Nothobranchius furzeri: one gene and its partners. The protein of the gene in region 1 interacts with the protein of each later gene in a pairwise test. Links are inferred from orthologs where the notes say so. Each region holds a gene or a part of one and is shown on either strand. Other genes may lie near its edges. The genes, in order: raf1a, rras and rras2.

The links.
Region 2: the proteins of raf1a (region 1) and rras interact in a two-hybrid assay, tested with the Homo sapiens proteins (2 studies listed by BioGRID). The link is inferred for Nothobranchius furzeri from reciprocal best matches to the Homo sapiens genes RAF1 and RRAS.
Region 3: the proteins of raf1a (region 1) and rras2 interact in a two-hybrid assay, tested with the Homo sapiens proteins (2 studies listed by BioGRID and IntAct). The link is inferred for Nothobranchius furzeri from reciprocal best matches to the Homo sapiens genes RAF1 and RRAS2.

Annotation. Positions count from the first base shown.
Region 1 is NC_091755.1:58,343,426-58,347,175, forward strand, and holds the start of raf1a (raf-1 proto-oncogene, serine/threonine kinase a), read left to right. Parts: upstream 1-919; 5' UTR 920-1,150; coding exon 1,151-1,402; intron 1,403-1,503; coding exon 1,504-1,616; intron 1,617-1,712; coding exon 1,713-1,815; intron 1,816-1,901; coding exon 1,902-2,059; intron 2,060-2,484; coding exon 2,485-2,574; intron 2,575-3,593; coding exon 3,594-3,747; intron 3,748-3,750. UniProt on the Homo sapiens protein: Serine/threonine-protein kinase that acts as a regulatory link between the membrane-associated Ras GTPases and the MAPK/ERK cascade, and this critical regulatory link functions as a switch determining cell fate decisions including proliferation, differentiation, apoptosis, survival and oncogenic transformation.
Region 2 is NC_091758.1:13,997,807-14,001,556, reverse strand, and holds the start of rras (ras-related protein R-Ras), read right to left. Parts: upstream 2,705-3,750; 5' UTR 2,118-2,704; coding exon 2,031-2,117; intron 1,473-2,030; coding exon 1,385-1,472; intron 911-1,384; coding exon 808-910; intron 1-807. UniProt on the Homo sapiens protein: GTP-binding protein with GTPase activity, likely involved in the regulation of MAPK signaling pathway and thereby controlling multiple cellular processes. Regulates the organization of the actin cytoskeleton.
Region 3 is NC_091749.1:61,866,920-61,870,669, forward strand, and holds the start of rras2 (ras-related protein R-Ras2), read right to left. Parts: upstream 2,653-3,750; 5' UTR 2,324-2,652; coding exon 2,222-2,323; intron 1-2,221. UniProt on the Homo sapiens protein: GTP-binding protein with GTPase activity, involved in the regulation of MAPK signaling pathway and thereby controlling multiple cellular processes. Regulates craniofacial development.

The DNA of each region.
Region 1 (3,750 bases):
ATCTACCGGTCCTAGCACTTCACTACTATTGATACACGCTTGAAAGCCGAACTTTTAGTGTTAAAACCGGTTCTTTTTCAGACACATTAACACAAAATACAGGTTAAACCATTAAAAACCGAGCAGAAGTTCAGTTCGCTGTTTCAGGGAGGGCCTGCTGGCTGCTTCGCTGTTTTTGGTGAAACTGTCGAGCTTTATTTAAAAACACACTCGCTGCTACCCTCAACGTATCATTTTAAAGCACGAGAAAACCCACACGAGTATCCCAAATAGCTGTTTGTCCCTTGTTTGGTTTGAATGCTACACACTAGCAGCATTCATGCTAACCTGCTACATGTCAAAATCACATATGTGGACGTTTGATGAAGCAGCCATGTCGTTGTTGTAAACTGAACTCATGCTTGGGATGAATCAAGCGTTTGCAACAAATCTCCAGCGTTTAGCCTGTCTGCAGCAGATGTGCATTAACACAAGTACAGCAGACATGATAACAACACGAGTGTCTTCAGGGTCAGCAGCCTCCTGTATAAACCTGCAGGGTGGTGGTAAACACGTGAATGTCAAGAATAAACAAAAACCTTTTGGTTGTTTACATTAAGCTCAGTAGTTTGTGATGGAAACAATCCAGGTGAGTGGGTTTATTTGATGGCCTGGCCTTTTGTTTTCAGGAAACACATTTTGCATGAAATAGTCAGTTTAGCTCAGCTCATTGTTTTCTTCTTCTGGTTTATTAGCATATATAGGCCACACGCGACTCTTTTTGCGTGTTATAAACTTCCAGCCGAGACAAAAAGACCCGCAGAAACACACAACTCTGCAGTTTGGATTAGCTCAGTGTTTCTGGCTTTTCTCAGTAATTAATATGTTTTTATGCCACAATCCCCACATGCGATCTCTATTTAAAGGTTGCTGGAGGTGAGATTAAGTTTTGAGATTAAACCTTACAGCGCTCTAACCCAAATCTCATGTTTTGCCACTTTTCCCCCCCTGGTGTTTTAATCAACCGTGTCCAGGCCAGCAGATGCTGTTTCTCATTGTCAGCATAAACATTGTGTCTGTATGCCCCAAAACATGCATTTCTGCAGCTTTTGTGTTCTAGTTAAGAGAGCCAGTAAATGAGGAATGCACCCACAGAGATGGATGAGATCCAATGTGTTCCTTTGTGATCTGCATAGATTGTTGTGAGTATTTAGTTTTACTGATGGAGCACCTTCAAGGAGCGTGGAGAACCCTGAGTAACGGCTTTGGAATGAAGGACTCTGCGTTTGAGGGTCCCTGCCTTTCCCCGACTATGGTCCAGGGCTTTCCCCACCAGCGACGCTCCTCAGATGACAGCAAGGTGCCAGACTCGAAGGCTAGTAGCACAATCCGTGTCTACCTCCCAAACCAGCAACGCACGGTGGTGAGTTAGTTCTGCATTAGGAAACGCGTTTAGAGTTTCCACATTTAACACGGCGACCTCTGAATTCAGATCATAATTATTTGTAATTTCCCGTGTGTCAGGTAAACGTGCGACCAGGTTTGACTTTGTACACGTGTCTGATTAAAGCCCTGAAGGTGCGAGGGCTGCAGCCTCAGTGCTGCGCCGTCTTCAAGCTGCACCCAGGTCAGAGAAGGTGAGTTCAGGGTTTTTGGACAATTGTAACCAGAAGTAAGAAGATCACATGCTTATGTTTCTCCCCCTTTATTTCTACGGTTTGTTTTCCAACCAGTAGAAAATCTCGGATGGACTGGAACACTGACTCCACCTCTCTAATTGGGGAAGAGCTGCTGGTCGAGGTTTTAGATCACGTTCCGCTGACGACCCATAATTTTGTAAGCACCCAAGTCCTCTGCAGCGCCCTCACCTCCGCGTCCAGCGGCTAAATCAACACGTTCAAAATGCTTTCTGTCATTTCCAGGCTCGGAAGACCTATCTTAAGCTAGCCTTCTGCGATATTTGCCAGAAGTTTCTTTTAAATGGTTTCCGCTGTCAAACATGTGGCTACAAATTCCACGAACACTGTAGCACCAAAGTGCCCACGATGTGTGTGGACTGGAGCAACATCAGACAGCTCCTGTAAGTATCTGAGAGGGGTCTCTTATTATAAAAACAACTTTTGATTAAATGGGGGAAAATGGTGACATGGTGAAGCACAACATTTTTAACAAACAAATTACAAAAAAATACACCAATTAAAATAAGCAAGTCAGCACACGCACAGTTCGTTTATCTCCCTCGGGCTTTATAATTTGATTTATATTAGAAATGAGCTCACCCAAACTTTCTGCAAAGATGAACAGTAGAAGGAAGCTCTGCTGATATCCCAGTTTGCATAGGGGTGTGCTCATTTGCATCCTGGCACTGCCAAAAAGGCCGTTTTGTTTCATTTTGCATGCAGGCTGTAGATGAACAGTAATTCTGTAAAGATTAGTGTCATTTGCACACTGCTCTGTTGTAAACACACCCTCCTCAGGACTTTAGTCTCTTGTTTCTGTCGGCAGGTTGTGTCCGGTCCCCGGGGAGAGCGGCACCCCGTCACTGCCGCCGCTCACCTCTCGACGGATGAGAGAGTCTCTGTCACGGTTTCCAAGGTGACGTTGCTTCTCTCTACTTATTCATCACAAACCCTCTGCAGAAGGATAAAACAAGGTTTTATTATGCAGGTGAAACTGGAACAATACTTCAGAATATGGTCCATTTATTTATGTAATCCAGATTAGACTGAGAGGCCATCTAAAGGCTCAGGAAAACCTTTGCAGGTGTTTCAAGTTGAATTACTGACATAAATGAACTTTTGCACTGTTATAAGTTTAATTACCTCCAGATTAACATCAAGCTGTTGTAGACTAGATTACAGATTAGATGTTATTCGGCTCACATGTGGTCAAGTTTGGACTTTTTTAGGATCATATTTTAATTGTGTTGTATGTGTTTAAAAGGCTGTCTTTGCTTCAGGGAAGCTTATCAGTGGAAGGAATGATGTAACGCCGGGTGTGAAAAACAGCCTGTTGTTTTGATGGCTGATAAAGTGGTTTAAAAAAAACACCCAGGGTTGCTAAATTGGCTGTCGCTGCAAGTTGTTCCTTGCAGAAAAATGCGAAATGCTCGACAGGAATATTAATTCCTGTTGTCTAAAGCGGGACTGCTCATGAAGAACACCAAGGCGAGGTTCTGCTCAAAAACACAAACAGCCGGTTCCTCTGCGCCGCTTCTGGACGATTTCTCTGCAGATCCGAGAGCGGCTTTGCGCTGCTGTAGGATTAGCATATCTGGCTGGAAGGTTTTGTGCTCTTTAACCGATCTGGACACAAAGCCGCTCAGCCACACACGGCTAAAGAGGAAGACCAGTAACAAATACGAGCCCACTAGCTACTTCCCTTAAACAATGTAGTTTCACTCTTTGCTGTTTACCACACAGCTAAGGCATGTAATGGCTTCTGGTGCTGAATGTGTGGCAGTAGTCCAACGTAAACAAGGGTGCTTGACTGAGGAGAGTTAATGAGGCCACCTCACCCACACCCACACCCTCACCCGAAGATGTGGCCGACAGAAGCATCCACTGCTGGTTTGGTCGTTTTTAGCTAAAGGCTCGATTGTCATCCTGTCACAGCTCAGCCCACCGAAATTCCACCCCCCACGCCTTCAACTACGCCACATCGTACCAACCCACAGGCGGCGGTCTCTCCCAACGGCAGCGCTCCACCTCCACGCCCAACGTCCACATGGTCAGCACCGCCCTGCCCGTGGACAGCACCACCATCGAGGTA
Region 2 (3,750 bases), on another chromosome or scaffold:
CTGCAGTTCTAAAAGATCTACCGACCACAAAAACAGCGGAGTGCTCGCTGCTTGCCGGCCGCATCAGTGATCGGTGCGTTACCGGATGACAAGTTGATGCGCCCCGCTCCACAGCAGCAAAACGCTTCAGGCGCAAATAGACAGAAAACATTAAATGAAACGAACCGACATGAACGATCGCGTGTCAGTACCGACGCTCTGGCACAGCGCGTTGCCCCCCCCGAGCGCAGGAGCTTGTCACCTGCTGACAGCAGGCTGCTGTCTTTTCCGAGGACTGCATCTTGCCGGTCATTATCACGTGACAGCGACTAGTCGATGACGGGCATAAAAAGTCACTACAGAGCGGTGAAGTCGACTAGTTCATACACCCCCTGCTACTGCTCCCCAGAGTGTTCTGCAGCATAATCAGCACGTTCTCTTTGAACTTGATATCAAATTTTTGCCTCCTCTTCGTCTCCACACGGTTAAAGTTACCCTCGCGGTCTATCACTGGCAAATCAAAAGTGAGACGGATGACACAACCGCGCCCCGTACTTGCTTGTTACCACATTCCACCCGGCCACAATAAAAAACCGGCCATTATTCACCTCCACCGACTCCGACACCGGCCAAAATATGATACCCGGCAGTTAATTGTAAACAGGCCTGTATTAGAGGATTTACGGTAGCTACACAGCTTTAATCAAAGGAGGTCAAGCAGGGATTCATCAGGAGATCCCCGATGTTCTAAACTCACGGTCTGGAATACCCCCCAGACACCACACACACACGCACACACACACACACACACACACACACACACCTTACCTCCCCCGGTCGTTGAGGGCGAACACCAGTAAGAATCCTTCTCCAGAGCGCATGTACTGCTCCCTCATGGCACCAAACTCTTCCTGACCTGCTGTATCCAGGACTGAACACACACACACACACACACAGACACACACACTAGTGAGTTAGCATTAGCATCCCCTCCGGACGATAACACACCAGGTTCGGTTGAACTTTGGTGCGTTTTAGCTGAAATGTGACCGTTTTGGGTTAAAAATGTGGTGAAACCATTAAAAGAAGTGCAGCTAAACAGACTTCATGTCGCTACAATTCCAAAACAAGGTCATGGAGAAACATTCCTTCCTATAAACGGATCTTTTGTCCCAAGCGGGTCGGGTCACTGCTTGTTCTGAGGTTCTGTTTGAGGTGTAAGAGGAGATCAGACGGCGTTAACCTGCATCAGAGTGGTGAAACACCAGCACAACCCAGAACACCCCACCCCGACCGCATCGGCCCACTGACAAGTCCAAACAAGGTGCTGCTGAAACCTCCAGAGCAGACACTCTGCCCATGTGCCTGTGAGCAACACCAGGCGTGTAAGTGAGTCAGAGCCTACCATCCAGCCGGGTCTCCTTCCCGCCCACGCTGCAGACCTTGCTGTAGGAGTCCTCGATGGTGGGGTCATAGTCTGACACGAAGTAGGACTGTGGGGCAGAGTCTGCGTTAGAACCAGAACCAGAACCAGCTGTACACGATCATCATTAACCACTGTTGTAGAGGTGGACCCGAAACTGGTCCGGATTCTACTCTGACATCAGCTCACCTGGTAGCAGTTTGATGGAACTACCTGGTCAGACCCGTTCTCCCTCTCATCAGAACCGGGTTCTAATGGACCCCTGGAGTAATCAACTTAGGCTAATGGTTCTGATCCAGTACTCACACAGAACACAGATCAGCCACAGCATTATGGGCTGGGTTCTGGTTGGACCATGGGTCCTGGACAGAACCAGATTAGAACTATCCGTGTGACAGTTAAGGGCGGAAACAATAACTGGATCCTGAAGAAGCTAAACCAGGTCCGGTCCAACGACTCGGCCAGAACCAGCCTATGGACACTGTTCTGGTGGGTCTTACTGGACCTGAGGGAACCGCTCGGGCCCGACGGGACCCGTTCTAAAGAACTTCAGATGTTCTGATCCACCTCTAGAACATTAACGAGCAGCTTCAGGAGTTGTGAGCGGGTCCGAACCGGACCGGCCTACCTGTATGAACTGGATCGTCAGGGCGCTCTTGCCCACTCCTCCTCCGCCCACCACCACCAGCTTGAACCGCTCCTCCTCTCCGCTCATCCCGAGTCAGTCCGGAGACTCCGTCCGGACCGAACCTTTTCAAGGCTTTAGTCCAACTGAAGGCCGAACTGAGAAAGAGTCCAAGTAAAGTCCACCCGGTACCGTGAACCCAAGTAGACAGGCTTGGCTGGTTTTATCTCCGCGGTTCTGAACTCATGTTCTGAAACGGTCCCACCGGACTTTCCCTCCCTGCTGGCCCGGTAAATTCACTGGAAAAGCGCCTTCTCGTTCCGTCGAGTTCTGCTGTGGTTCCGGAGCCTGGGGCAGATTTTGGGCGGAACCGCTTCCTCCTTCTACTCAACAGAACCGACACAATCTGCTACGGACGTGCTAACGGGCCGAGCCGGGTTGGGTTCGGAGGCGTTCGAGTCCGAAACGCCGCTCCTGGTCCAGATGTGCCGAGTCCACTCTAAACTAAACTTTTTGTGTCGTTCTCCTTATTTGGTAATTTGGAGGGTCCGTGACGTCACGAGAGCTCCTAAAACGTGTTTCCGATTACAGTCGCCGTTTCCCGCCGCTTCGGGACCTCGCTTCCTAATAAAACCCGGCTCGGTGTTGGATCTGGAACCGGCCCCTAGCCTCCAGCTACGCAGAACTACTTCCGGACTGGACCCGCGCCAAGCCGAACTCTGTAGCCTCGAGTAGAGACCTGCAGCGGCTCCACAGGAGCTCGACTTTAATGGGGTTTATAAAATAAAGCTGTATTTACTCTGATTACCGCTTTTACTGCTCTCATCCTGTTTTTAGAGTTCACCCTCACATGCGCGTCCTAAAATTAGAATCTCATGATAAAATACATTTATTTCAGTTATTCCATTTAAAAAGTGAAACTTTTATAATATATTTCAAATGTTTATTTCTTCTGATTTTGATGATTGTAACTGAACTAGTGAAAATCCCAAATTCTGTATCTCAGTCAGAACATTAGAATATTGTGAAAAAGTTCTATAGTGAAGACCCCTGGTGCCACAATAATCAGCCATAGTGATGGGAATTCCGGCTCTTTTTAGAGAGCCGATTCTTTTGGCTCAGCTCACCAAAAAGAGCAGGCTCTTTCGGCTCCCAAGTGGCTCCTCAGATTTTCTGTTTCGTAGAATACATTTATAACCAAAATAATGCTAAACTATATGTAAAATAATTTACTAATGTAAAAAAAAGCAATATATCAAATATTTATCATTCTATGGATTTAATAACTGAACACTTTAAGAAATCTCCATTTTCCGACTGCTGGCGCTCATTTTCTCACCGTCTTCGTCGCGCTCTCCTCCCTCTCGCTCGCCTTTTTCCTGCTCCTGATTCCCTCTCGTCTCCCTCCACCCGCATGTGCTCTGCTGTGTGTCTGTCTGAGTATGATCCTCCCTCTTCCCCACCCCTACTGCTCTGTGTGTGGACAGTCTGGACACACAGTTACACATGTTGACCAATCGCCTGTAGCTTTCACCAAGGCAGGGGGGAGGGGGGGATGGGACGGCTCCCAATGACAAGCCGGCTCCCGTCGTTCACTTCAAAGAGCTGGCTCTTAGAGCCGCATCGTTCGCGACCGACACATCACTAATCAGCCGATCAAATCAAAACACCTGTGAAAGCCTCTGAATGATCTCTCAGTCTAGTTCGTACACAATCACGGGGA
Region 3 (3,750 bases), on another chromosome or scaffold:
CAAAAATAACAGCAGATATTGCAGGGGTCCTCAATTATAATGGTCTGAGGGCCACTCCAAAAAAATAAATACCCAGAGGCAAGAGGTCCAGACCCACAAGCCGCCTATTGAGGACCACTGGTCTATGGTATAATGTAATGTTGTGTTTTGTGGCATATATCACCCCAGTACGTTTAAACCAAGTCAGGGCTGGGCGATAGGGCCTTAAATCATTGTCGCGGTATATTGAGGAGTTCACCTCGGTAACAGTAAAAGGATGATATCTACGTGTAGATGGGGATGTCACTTGCATTGTGTTGAGTCATGTTAAGTGGTACAGCTTTTTAAAAGAGCCATAAACATTGCCAACCTACACACCTTTTTTTATGACCAAATTTATTAACATGGGGAAAACGATATTGATATAGTTAGTCAGAAATTTCAATAACGATCAATTTTCGATTAATCGCCCAGCCCTAGACCAAGTGAAAGGTCCCATGTCTGCATTGCGTAATGCAGCTTTACATGTTTTCCTACTTCAGGTCAGTAGGCTAAAGCATAGCCATGCCTTTTTTTTCCCCCTTGGTATGCACTTAATGAGGTTTTTGAACTCTCATTATACCCAACTCCCCCCTTATTTCAAATCACACACTCTGGAGCTTTTCAGCCCCACGCTGAAGCGTGTGCCAGCCCACTATTGTCTGATGGCGTGGAGACATGCAGTTGCCTGCTGTCTGGTCTCCTGGAAGCCAGCAGCAGCGTCAGTACCACACTGACACACAGGGAGGGGTGGAATACGTGTGGCAAAGGTCAGCGTTTGTCATCTCTTGCAAGAAGAGTGTGTGTGTGTGTGTGCGTGCGTGCGTGCGTGTTGGTAAAGAAGTCCACTCCTAAGTGACTATTATGGAAGCCTGGAAGGTCAAAGCGAGGCGGGCTGTGTCTGGAGGAATGCAACCTGGGGTAGAGGGAGGCACACTGTTTACATGCCTTTCACATTAGACATCAGGGGTTTTCAAGTGGGCTGCAGTAAAACTGGTGATGTCATTGTTTTTGAGGGAAGAGGGGGTGCAAGTTAAGCGTTATCTCCAGAGGTATTTATATGTCCACCTTACTGGAAAGGCTTGAAAATGGGCCTAACCAGCAGCTGGTAAAAAGTCTGTATCTGAACTCAGAAGTTAATCATCATTCACTAGAAACGTGTGTGTTGTGTGTTTGAAACTCACTCAACCCAACTCTACTTTCTCAGTCTAGTTCCTGCATGGCGGCGTAGTTGGTTAGCAGTGCAGCGAAAAGGTCACAGGTTCAAATCCCGTCTGCGCCGTCTTTCTGTTTGGATGTTTTCGCATGCATCCGACTACTGCGGCTTCCTCCCGCAGAGCAAGATCGTGCACGTCAGGCTGATTGGAAACTAAAACTGTCCTCTAGGTGTGAGTGACTGAATGTGTGTAAGTGGTGGTGCGTCTCTGTGACGGACTGGAGACCCTGTCCAGGGTGTCACCTGCCTCTTGTCGGATGACCACTGGAGACAGACACCAGCTCCCAGTGAGCCTAGTGGGGGACGGAGTGGTTGAGATGATGAATGGGTAGTAAACCCTGGTTGTCACCCCCTACCTGGGCAGAGGAAACACCTTTGCCCCCAAACACAAAACTGTCCCTAAGTGACAAATGGAACAAATTCACACAAACACATTAAAGTTAAGTTCTGTGATGACAACTGGCTCAGACCCTGACCAAATCTGGCGAACTTTACAGAACCAGGAGAGGTCTAACCACCATGGAAGCATGCAGACACAGCAGAACGACTCACAGCAGTTTGGTGGATCTGAAAACGGATTTACAAGCACTCTGTTTTATTTAAAACACCCTGCTTCTGACTGATGTGGTTTGCTGCTCAAGTTCTTTACACTTGCACAACTTCACACGAAAACAGACTATCTTTAAAAGTTTAAGTTTAAAATGCGGACCAGAGCAGACCCAGTTTTCTTTCTCTTTTGACTCGCGGCTATATAAAGTGGAAGTGTTCCTCTCGGAAATCGTTAAAGTGACAGCCACCATCGTTCATTTCTCCCCATTTCGCTCTGAAATCTTTCACCAGCCCCTCGGTGAGCACTCGCAGGCCCCAGTAAAGTCGAGAAGAGCCCAGAAACACGTCCTTTACCCTGGCCTCCTTCTCTGGTGCGTGATGGCCGTGAGTGTTTTCAGATAAGCAGATAAATAAAAAGAAGCGCTGACGCGGACTGACCTGAATAAACTGGATCGTCAGGGCTGATTTTCCGACTCCTCCGCCTCCAACCACGACCAGACGGTACTTCTCCTGCACCGAGCCGTCCTTCCAGCCTGCCATTGAGGACACTTCACGCCGCCGCTGCCGAAACACCAGTGAGCAGCAAACACCCACTTTTCCCCCTCCTTGTAAAAACTGAAGAGGAGGCCCTGCGGTGGAGACACCGGAACGCAGAGAAGAAGCGACGGGCGTGTGAGCCGAAACGACTCGTCCGGTACGTGCTCGAATCAAGAGGGAGGAGGAGGATGCTGGAAAACTGCGGCCGCCTGACCGAGTTCCGGCCTCTACAACACTGCGCCGTCCAAGATGATCAGATAGAGCGAGTAATCTGCAAGCCACTGCTAATGTCTGGCGCAAGGGGCCCTTCCAAAGGCGGTCTGCCTGCCCCTCTTCTCTATGGACACACACACACACACACACACACACACACACACACACACACACACACACACACACACACACACACACACACACACACACACACACACACACACACACACACACACACACACACACACATTCCTGTCACTAAATCTTTAACCTCACTCACATGTTTTGCATTCATAACTACAATTATGCCCAAAATGTACCCCCCCCCCCAATAGCCTACATTTTCTTCTTAACCCTCTGATGCATGAATTATGAAATCTTCAACCATGATTTTTTAAACAATTTTTTTCATTCATCTTTAGGTGTAAATTAAACAAATTTCAACAAATATTTTTTGTAACATTTTGTTAATTTACAAATAATTTATTACATATCCACCTTGGTGGACAGCGTGCATTCTGACCATGAAATATTTTGGCTTGACTTACTGAAGTCCAAATGGAGGGGCTCACATGCAATAAAGTCTTCAACAGCTGTGCTTATAGCAAAAATAAATAAATAACAATTTTGAGTACCTGTCCACTGTAGTGACCATTATGCATCAAAGGGTTAAGAAAATCCCCATGTCTAAAAAGCTGCGCTGCACATGGTTAATATTTAGTTAACATTTAGTTAACATTTAGTTCTGTGATCAGCCGATCAGCATAAAACTTTCTGCAATTAATAACTGATCTCCAGCAAGGTACTTTTTACTTCCAAAGTACTAACTTTCAATTCAATAAAAAGAAAATTAGTTGAGATAAATAAGAATCTTTATCAGCAGGTCAGAGATGTGCAAGAACAGGACATCAGTATTGGCCTGTGAAACCAGAATGGGTGCATTTCTATTAACATAATAATGCATGCTAGATATTAGTTTTTAAATCTAAGGAATTATTTACTCAGTGTACAGTTGTTGTTTATTTTTGAAAAGTATGCATTTATATCTGTCTCAACAAAGCTGAAATGAAAAAATGACCTGGTTTTGTTTTATTGACAGTTACAAGTTTTGTGTTGAGTGTAGAAGAGAGAACAGAAACCCATTTACCTGATATTAAGGACCGAGTTGGATAAAAGGACTGATTGCATGTCATCATGTAGCATGAGGTTATAAATTA